Arabidopsis thaliana: one gene and its partner. The protein of the gene in region 1 interacts with the protein of each later gene in a pairwise test. Each region holds a gene or a part of one and is shown on either strand. Other genes may lie near its edges.

Region 1 (5,877 bases):
GTTAATACATAAATTATTCGGTCTCTAGATGTATGAAAATGGCATTGACACTCCCAAAAGAAAAGAGAAACATTCAAAGCGCTAACATTGAGTAACTACGTCAATCAGAACGATCATTAACCAAACAAAAGTGTAAAGATCTAAGAAATCATATGGCTTGCTTTTTATATTTAGAAATAATTGCAAATCTATTTTACAATTCCATCACGAATACGACCCCTGAGCATGTGTCCCAACCTAAGTAACAAGAGTCGTGTTGTATTTGTATATAATAATAATTCTAAAAATAGATACAGATATGTGTATATAAAATACTCAAACGTACGAAGTGTTTGACCTTGGATTTTAGTAATGTTTTCTAGCAAATGTGAAACCAAAATATTCAACAATAATGTCATAATGAAAACCATTAACAAATTCCATTGTCGTCCAGCGGTTAGGATATCTGGCTTTCACCCAGGAGACCCGGGTTCGATTCCCGGCAATGGAGCCTTTTTTTTCCTCAAATTATCTCAAAAATTCACGACTATCAATATATCCTCTCTCTAAACATATCAATCTATTATATGCTAAATAAAATAACATTTCAATCATGTTTTCACCAATAAGTTTAATAATTGACCGTTTCTAGGCACATAAATCATCACATGTATAGTAGTACTGCATAAGAAATAATCAATAAAACATCACAACTTTAAAGTTGGTTTGATTTTGATTAATAATATGACAAACTTCAAAAGAGAAAAAATAGCAATCAAGTTCAGAGGTAACAAACAGAATTGCATCAAGTTTTGATTTAGAATAAACAAAAAGGATTCTTAAGTTTTTAGAGTTTTAAACAGCCGAATGAAACATCAACGAACATACTCTCGCGATTCTGATCTCTTAGACCGCTTGTACTCACGTTCATATCTGAAGTCATCTTCCTCCATTTTATCGTAGCGATGACTGTACCGGTCTGTGTCCCCTTGATCGTCTTCATAGTAGCCACGAGTTTCTTCTGGCTCGCCACGGTACTCTGCATCTCTCTCACGGGACCGACCACCACCCTCATGCTCATATTCACCTCCTTCATAATCCCGCTCCTTCTTTCTACTGCGGTCTCGGTCATGATCCCTTGAAGTACGATCCCGTCCCCTGTCACGGTCACGGCGGTCTCTGTCTCCTCTGTCACGGGTCCGGTCACGATCACGTCTGCTGTCCCTATCCCTGTCTCTGCCTCCTTGGTCTCGGTCTCTGTGGTGCTTATCCTCTCTCGGTCTGTCACGAGACCTCTCTCGAGGTTGTTCGTGAGACAGCTCACGAGACCTTTCCCTTTCTTTTCCCTTTTCCCGAGATTTCTCACTGGAGACAAGGTAACAACATTATCAGCACAATATTAGTCACAAGGCAAAAGAGTTTGGTACGAATGAAAATATCTTTACCGCTCTTCCCGTGGTCTCGATGGCTCCTCTGACTGGGAGGTTCTTCCTTGCGGTTGTTGTTCCCCAACAATTTCTTCACCACCACCCACTCTTGAGGTCCCAAGTCCACCACCAAGCCTGCGTGGACGCCAGTTTGGGACGGTTCTACCTCTCTCCACATCAACCAAAACTCTTCTGCCGTCAATCTTTTGTCCATCAGCTTGCTTATATGCAGCTGTAGGAAGAGTAGCAAAACACAATGCAACATCAGTATAAAGAGCAAACATCTCAGGGAGATAAAAGAGGGTTGAAAGAAAAGAGATGTGAGGGCACCTTTCATGTCACGGGTGTGCATGTACTCAATGAAAGCATATCCTTTGGGTTTATTGGTCAGCTGATCAGTCACCAAATGAACCTGAGAAGTTTCAGAAGAAGACAATTAACAAATCAAATCTGTGAGAACAAAATCAGATTCAAGATAAAAGTGTTTCATATCAAACAAACATGCAGCTCTATAAGGCAGGCAACCTTTATGTTGTGTCCAAATCCGAGAATGTCACCACCCACATCAAGAATTGGCAGAAAAATGGATGTATTGCAGCAAAATTACCATTTTTGAAGAGTCTAATAAACCACCCCTTACCAGGGTATAGAAACTTAGATAACTAAAAATGTATTAAAAAGTGAACCAGATCACCTTCATAGTAGCCCAAGTCCCAGATACTGAATATATATAGATGTTAAGATAGGAAAAGAGAGAAGGGTTTTCGATAATCCAACCTTGGTTGCTTGAAAATAAAGCATTTGAATGGCTTTGGGATATGGGCAGATAATATTTTATAAGTTGCTTACCAGCAGGATGAGTTGAGCTCATTATAGATTCAGAAAACAACTAATTGATTAGGTAAACCGTGTGCCTATAACCACTATATGATATATCATTGTAAAAGTATTTGCTCTCTGAAGGGACAAGGAAATAAAAATACCAGGCCAAATTTACCGAAAACATCTCAAACAAACACCATGGAGAGAGGAGCTGTGTCATTATATGAGAAGCACTTATGCATCTATATATTCAGTTATTGAGAAAGGTCTAAGAGACTTGATGGCTTTACACAGTCTAAAGAAGGCATGCAAAACAAAGCAAATGTAGAATGGCCTTTTGGTCTAGCAGAAAAGATGCAAATTTATAAGGGACTGAAAAATTCTAACCTTGGAAGACTTTTGTAGATAAAATAAAACAAATTGAGCAAAGAGCTCTAGAGAGGGAAGCCATTACACAAATTCTTACCGAACCAGCAAGGGAATGCTCAGAATAACCTACCCGTTTAATTGGTCCATAAGATTCAAACTCCCTTTTAATCTTACTCTCTGAGGATTCGTAGTTCTGCAAGACAAGAACAGACCAAAGTTAAGCACAACATAACTCAGATGTCTAACAAAAGTCATTCAACAGTAAGAAAAAAAGAAACACAGCTTACAAGTCTTGAAACGAACAATGTCTTGTATGGATCTCCAGTAGCATTTGGATCATTATTGGGGTCATCTGCATATAAAAAAAAAACAAATTAACTAAGAATTCTCAAACCTAAGAGGGCATTAAAAGGAACACAAATAACATATAGTAGATTACATTTCTTTAAGTCCTCAGCAGCCTTTTCAACACCTTTCTCCAGTCGCAATTTATGAATTCTTTCCCTTTTCTGCGACTGGACAATGAAACAAAACAAAGCTATAAGCCACTGATTTAGGGTTAAAATATGGCAATAATCGAAAGAGTTAAAGGTGCATCATCATACAGGTAATTCAACTTCTGGCTTAGGTGGAGCGTATTCTGGATCCCCAGGCTCAGCAAAGTTACTTACAAACTGAGCCATACCTATATTCAATACACAAGACAAAATCAAATCCAAAGCAAAGAAAACATAATCAGATATACAAGTTGATACCTGTATAAGGCGGGCACTTTCTCTTCTCTGGTGGTGGTTTGTACTCCAATGGCGGACGTGGCTCAAAAAGCTTCAAGAGATTGTTTGTTAAGCCAGTAGGGTGGCTCTGACCCATCTGCATATCAGATAGATCCATTATATCAGCTTTAAAGCAACAAGATATCAATCAAACTGATTCAAAACTATAAAACAAGCTCAAGAATCAAGACCAATATAATCAAATCATATGACCTAAAATCGGAATCTCAATTCAATTTAGAACTAGCTGATGAGTGTTACAACGCAATCGAAAATAGAACCGAAGCAAGTATCAAACGACTTAAGAGTATTCCAATTCATTAGCTAGAAACCTAATAGACAACGAAACTAAAATCTAGAGAGTAATCACGAATTCAGCGAATTTAGAGAGAAGAGACGAACCAGCTTAAGCTGAAGAACATTGGCTCTGTTCTGAACTTTAGCGCGAGCTTGAACAGCGGCGTTTGGATTACGCAAGAAAGGATCGCCGGAGTCTCCCATGGCGACAAAAGGGATCTCGGAGCTGTGCTAGGGTTTTTCGTGAGGAAGCGGATGGAGGATTTTTGCAGAGAGAAGAAGCAAAACTAACAAAACCCAAATTCAATCTCTAACCGGATTCTGATTATTAAGAAAACCGAGTTGAGATCCAACAGATCACGATACGTAAAACGATGCCGTGCTCGTATATCTCGGTCACACTTTAACCCACTCGCTGAACAAGAGGGTTATCAGCTTCAATTACCTTTTTTTTTGGATTTTACAATTTTTTGTTAACATGTCAAATTATTGGTTTTGTAGGCATTCGTTGATCTTTGGCTCCCATATTTTTCTAAAATCCATTAACAAAAAACATAATTAAAATAGATTCCAATTTTATTTATTTTTACAATAACAGGCTCTAAATTTTTAAATATTTTAAAGTAACCATAATAAGAAAAATTAAGCATTTCCAAATGACCATCACTGATTCACTTCCATAGGATGTGGCTCTCCATCCAATGATTTTGTTAAGTATGATGGAACCGAGGTTGGAGATCTATTGAACTTGACGGGCACACCTTTTACCATTGGTCTCGTGCGCTAACAGCGTAATTGTTGTTGGTTGCAACATCAAAGCCTTTTGAGAAAAAATGAGCCAAGAATAGTTGGTTGCGTCTCCATTTGTGCACTACAGCACCAGAAGCGAGAATGGATAAAAAAAGGTTGCAATGGCTATAGATGCTGCAGAAAGAAAGAACCTTATGTGATCGGGCATGTAACTGGTCTCTTAGTATACAAGGGGATAGTAGAAACACAACAATAGGCGAGGGTGCAAAGTGGCAATTTTAACAGACGAGTTTGACATATACCCTTCCTCAAAAATTAGTGATACTCGATGGATTTATGCGATGAAACGTACGATAGTCCACCTACAATGGTCAATTCAAACTGTGAATCTCTCATCTGTCGGGTGCTCACATCACCGTTGCAAGTGCCATATATAACCTGACGGATTATGAGTACGAGATTGGATATTCAGTTTGTGCATGTTCCAGTGGTTACAATGTAACCCATAAGATCTTTTAGGTGGATGCAAAGTGAGAAACTGACTCGTTCTGTTTTCTTGTATTGTGGAAAATGCTTGCTTATTATAATTATGTGGTTTTTCATCTACAGATATGGACGAGTGTAGAATACTCAACAATAATGGACGTCACAAATATTGTTGCGAAGGTAGCATGTGTGTTAACACTCGGGGAGGGTACCATTGCGTGTTCCACAAGAAGAAGACGTTGCCAATTATCATAGATTCATAGGTATGCAATTTTATCATTCAGATTTATGTATTCATATAATGGGACTGATGACTCCCCTTGGTAACTGCGTTTGGCCATCGTAGTAGAAATTGTTGGAGCCTTGTCGCACCTGAACTTAGGCGCCTTATTGGGGATATATGTTATCCGATTAGGATTAGTACAATATCTTTGATGATAGAGTTTCTAACCTATATTTTAGGGATTTATGTTTATCTCTTGATAGAGATCATTGTATATAAATACCATAGTTTGTGAATCAATAAAATCAAGTCAGTTCAATACCTTATTCTACATGGTATCAGAGCAGTCGATCTTTGTGGATCATAATTAAAGCTTCCGCATTATAGATTTTGTAATCAAGAAAAGATTATGAAGATGGTGATCACTGAAGGAGAAGACGGTGCCTCCGACGGTGGAAATGAAAACGACGAAGATGTCGGCATGTTAAGGGATGGAGGTTACGTGATTGTTTCTTAATCACATGGGTATTATTTTTCCAAAACTTTAAGTCGTTGGTTTTCTATGTTTTTAGTAGGATTGGTTTTGGTTTTTCTTTTTCTTTTTATGTTACTGGAATTATTCTTGAGTTAAGAAATTTTCAGAGTTTTTGTGTTCTTAGTAAGAGAGTTTGGTAATAGTTTTACCGTTACGGGGGAGTTTGGTTATGGTTTAGCCATTAGTAGAGTTTGTGGAACATTCATGTTTTTAGGT
Region 2 (4,343 bases), on another chromosome or scaffold:
TTTTTAGTAGTTGTAAGAGGCTATAATCACCAAAACAAAGTTTCTCACCAAAGACCATAGAGAACTCGCATCACATTAGATATCATCAACTAGGATCCTAGTGGAATATCCCAAACCAAAGAACATACAATGCATCTCTGTACTAAGAGACAATGATCATATCACGTGAATCAAGAGGATTCGTGGGAAATACAGATCCGAATGTTCGATCTACACATGATAGCACTAGATCAACCTAAATGTCAAACAGATCGGAGAAACAAAAAGCTCGATCTAATTACACCACCTTTTTCCATGTATTCCGATCAAATCATGAAGGATCAACGCAAGAACAACAATGAAGAGAAATAAAACTTAGTGGATTTGATTTTTACCTGGATTGGATGAATGTGAGTCACAGAGACAAAGAGAAGAGAGTGCTCCAAGAGTCACAAAATGATTATAGATTGTGGAATTGGTTGATCCGTTGAACTTTATATTAACTATTATCAATGTGACGCGTAATCTTCGCTCGCCGACAAAATTTTCGTCGTGTAAGATCCTTATTGGCTTTTAAAATTGACATCCATTTCGACACCTCAATTTCAAGATATTACAACAAAGAAGATCACATTTTTGATTAGTACAGAAAGACCCCCAAAATTCGGAGGAATTATTATTATCATACGATTCAAAAAAAAAAAACAAGGCCAGAAGCTTACAAAAGCGTTTAAATGATTTTGTAACCAAGGGTAAAACATTTTGACAATCTTTGAGGTACAAACAATTTCAGAGACTGGATTGTAACCAAATGGGACAACATCAAGAGGTTCTCATACGTGATCATGTTCATCCATCGAACGAGCCGAGCTATTTCAGGTGGTGCTCAAACAACGACGCCATTTCGAGCTGAAAAACAAGAGGAAGAAATATTCAAAGACTTTACCAAAAAGACATAAGAACCCGAATGGTTATAACATGACCAGTTGCTCAATGGAATGATCAGGAATTTCTACATCTTATTCTAACAATAAAGGATTGAATCATAATGATACTTACCGCCGTCAAAGCAGTTTCAGCTCCCTTATTGCCGGCTTTGCCACCAGATCGATTCAGAGCCTAGAGTTTCAGTTAACCACAATATTAACAAATTCAGTGTTCATCCATTATGATGAATAAGCTATATATCATCAACTCTTGCATAACACAACTTAAACCTGATCCATGTCCTCGCAAGTCAGTACACCAAATATGCATGGAACGCCTGCAAATTGGATTTTTTATAAGCTTTAATTACTAGAGTCAATAGTGCGTAAACACAAAATTTGAAGAAGTAATTCATGATGAGGGAATTTAAACATCCAAAATCCAAAGAAAAGCAAAAATGAACTACCCGCTCTTTTAGGTTCGGAAGTATACAAAATCAATCTTTCAGTGTTTCCAAAACAATGTCAAATAAAAATGTCTAAAGATGTATATCCAGCAAATAAGTATCGAGGTAAACCTGAATTTATGCTAGCAGAAAGTACTCCAGACGCAGCAGAGTTGGCAACAGCATCATAATGTGTGGTATCTCCTCTTATCTAAACCACAACAAGGACAACAGTAATATCAAAATCCAACTCTTTAAGTATATGTTATCAACATAAAGCAACTACTTTCTGAAGCCATATGAGGAGAAAAACAAATGGAATAGCCTGAGATTCTTTCAAAACAAGAATCATACCACAGCGCCGATACATAAAACAGCATGAAATTTTCCCGATTTCCCAAGATTTTGTGCAACAACACCAATTTCAAAGCTGCCAGGAACCCAAATAACCTGAATAAAAACAGTGTCATTAGCTTTGTGAAAGCTCATAACTTTTTATTCTGTTCTACAAGCAAAAGACTTTTACTTCAATGTCTTCTTCTCTGACTGAATACTTCTTGAAAGTCTCAATCGCTCCTTCCAAAAGCAACTTAGTCACAACCTCATTGAAACGAGCTACCACCTTGAGAAAGAAAAATGAATCAGAACCAAGTCAACACTGCAATTGAGCTCAAAGTTTTCAAATTTCACTGTAAATCAGAACCAAGTCACTAAATCTAAGCAGCGCACAAAGTAAGAAAGCGATTCTGAGAACTCACGATGGCGAATCTAAGACCTTCGCCTCTGATAAGAGACCCCGTAACATGGCGAACAGCAGCCGTCTGTACGAATGAAGAGCGTAATTCCTTCTCTACAGCTAGTGGTGACGCAAATCCTAACACCAAATGTTAACATCTCAATCACGAAATTGCGAAAAAACGATTTGAGTTATTATAAGAGAAGTGAGAGAAAGCAAGCTTACCGGATGTGGATGAGGAGAATGAGAGATTATTGGATTTGTTCACAGAAGAGCCACCGTGTATATAACAGGCGGAGGAAGATTGACGCGAATTGAGCTGACGGTGTGCCGTCGGTATCAGGCGGAGACACGGCGGCGAAGCTAATGACTTCATTTTTCGTTCGTCGGAGTTTTAGAGACGGTTCTTCGTTCTTCAGGTTAAGAGTGAGACTGTGAGGTCCATTAGCTTATCAAATCGGTTCAAGGCTTCCGGTTTATTATTTTCATTAAAATTACGGTTTCATTGAATCTATTAGTTTGGTTAGAGATTTCCGGTTTGATGAAAAGGGATAAGCTAAACCCTACATCCCCAATCACTCTCACCGGCCGGAAATTTTCAGACAAAAGTGAAAGATTTAAACTTTTGACTCCGTCGTAACAAAGAACAAAACTTCCGTATCCTGGAGAGTAAATTCCTTTATGGCTACGAATGGGTACGTTTCGAAACCTACGAATTTCACGTTTTGATTGACGGAGATGAGCTTTAAACTCTTTAAGAGGATTCTATTGAATTTAAACGATTTGATCACAGGTTAATGGCGTCGTCCAGTGTGTTTCTTCATCGCCCGCGTATCGCATTTGCTTCTAGAACGAATCAGACTGTAGGAAAATACGGTAAAGGCCGTGTTAGTTTCATGGGCATTGGGACACGTCGTCTTCCGGTGGTTTTATCCATGACGGCGATGGCGGATTCCGGTGAGGAGGCCGTGAAATCTGTTTTGCCTGGAAATGGCATATCCATCATGGTAAACCTGATCATCTGATGATTTCTCTTAGACTCAAAGTTGTGAGATTTGACTTTGCATTACCATTTAAGTTTGAAATGTAGAAATGTCAAAGCTTGTTCCTTTTGAAATGGGGATTTTTATGTTGGATTTAGCTATATTCATTATCTCTTATTCTACAGGTGAATGGATGTAGTGGCAAAATGGGGAAAGCTGTAATTAAAGCAGCAGACTCTGCAGGAGTAAATATTGTTCCCATATCGTTTGGATCTGCTGGTGAGGATGGTCAGAGAGTTGAGGTCTGTGGAAAGGAGATTACTGTGCACGGTCCAACTGAAAGAGAAAAGGTTCTTTCTTCGGTGTTTGAGAAGCACCCGGAGCTAATTGTTGTCGACTACACAATTCCCTCTGCAGTAAATGGTAAACTTCAGAATCTCTCATTTCTACCATCAAAAGACAATTGTATTCTAGATTTGTTGAAGTTATGGTTGAATTCTGGTTGGCGGAACGATCCTTGATTGAGTTAGTTTAGAATTTGTGCAAGTGAAAATCATCTGCTAGAAGTGTTTTTTTTGTCTATTGTTTGTTGATTTCAAGTTTGGTATTCTCGCAAAATGTAGATAATGCGGAGCTGTATAGCAAAGTAGGTGTTCCTTTCGTCATGGGAACAACTGGTGGAGATAGGAACAAATTGTATGAAACTGTTGAGGAAGCAAAGATTTATGCTGTGATTTCTCCACAGATGGGTAAACAGGTATGTGTACTTGAATGTTTCTGGAAGAAATGATTACTTATGCATGTAAGTTAAGATCATTTTTGCTCATATTTGTGTGCTTTGTTGGTCTATAGGTTGTAGCATTTCTTGCGGCCATGGAGATCATGGCTGAGCAGTTTCCGGGAGCCTTTTCTGGTTATTCCTTGGATGTACTTTTCTTACTTCTTTTATACATTCAAATTCTTTTTTCTTTCTCTGTTAGTTTTATATTACTTCTTGCTACATCTAATCAACTGCCAATCTATATGTAGGTGATGGAGTCTCATCAAGCTAGCAAATTGGATGCATCCGGAACAGCAAAAGCTGTTATTTCTTGCTTCCAGGAATTGGGTGTGTCTTACGACATGGATCAGGTGCATTGGTCATCCTTTATTGTTTACATCTTGGCAATCACTTAATTTATCCTCGGAATGTGAATTTTCTGTGTATACAACTTTTGTGGCAGATACAATTGATTCGGGATCCAAAACAGCAAGTGGAGATGGTGGGTGTACC

The links.
Region 2: the proteins of U1-70K (region 1) and COS1 interact in binary tests that used the Arabidopsis thaliana proteins (3 or more experiments, as listed by UniProt).

Annotation. Positions count from the first base shown.
Region 1 is NC_003074.8:18,825,622-18,831,498, forward strand, and holds U1-70K (U1 small nuclear ribonucleoprotein-70K), read right to left. Parts: upstream 4,064-5,877; 5' UTR 3,872-4,063; coding exon 3,773-3,871; intron 3,468-3,772; coding exon 3,353-3,467; intron 3,283-3,352; coding exon 3,203-3,282; intron 3,113-3,202; coding exon 3,037-3,112; intron 2,950-3,036; coding exon 2,885-2,949; intron 2,791-2,884; coding exon 2,728-2,790; coding exon of another isoform or gene 2,611-2,727; exon of another isoform or gene 1,819-2,610; coding exon 1,737-1,818; intron 1,639-1,736; coding exon 1,425-1,638; intron 1,345-1,424; coding exon 855-1,344; 3' UTR 539-854; downstream 1-538. UniProt on the Arabidopsis thaliana protein: Mediates the splicing of pre-mRNA by binding to the loop I region of U1-snRNA.
Region 2 is NC_003071.7:18,222,424-18,226,766, reverse strand, and holds COS1 (6,7-dimethyl-8-ribityllumazine synthase / DMRL synthase / lumazine synthase / riboflavin synthase), read right to left. Parts: upstream 2,555-4,343; 5' UTR 2,464-2,554; coding exon 2,313-2,463; intron 2,226-2,312; coding exon 2,110-2,225; intron 1,974-2,109; coding exon 1,878-1,973; intron 1,802-1,877; coding exon 1,706-1,801; intron 1,563-1,705; coding exon 1,484-1,562; intron 1,244-1,483; coding exon 1,197-1,243; intron 1,099-1,196; coding exon 1,039-1,098; intron 889-1,038; coding exon 850-888; 3' UTR 534-849; downstream 1-533. Other genes in the region: AT2G44040 (Dihydrodipicolinate reductase, bacterial/plant), read left to right, coding at 2,769-2,782, 2,881-3,094, 3,256-3,493, 3,694-3,827, 3,923-3,997, 4,100-4,201, 4,294-4,343. UniProt on the Arabidopsis thaliana protein: Catalyzes the formation of 6,7-dimethyl-8-ribityllumazine by condensation of 5-amino-6-(D-ribitylamino)uracil with 3,4-dihydroxy-2-butanone 4-phosphate. This is the penultimate step in the biosynthesis of riboflavin.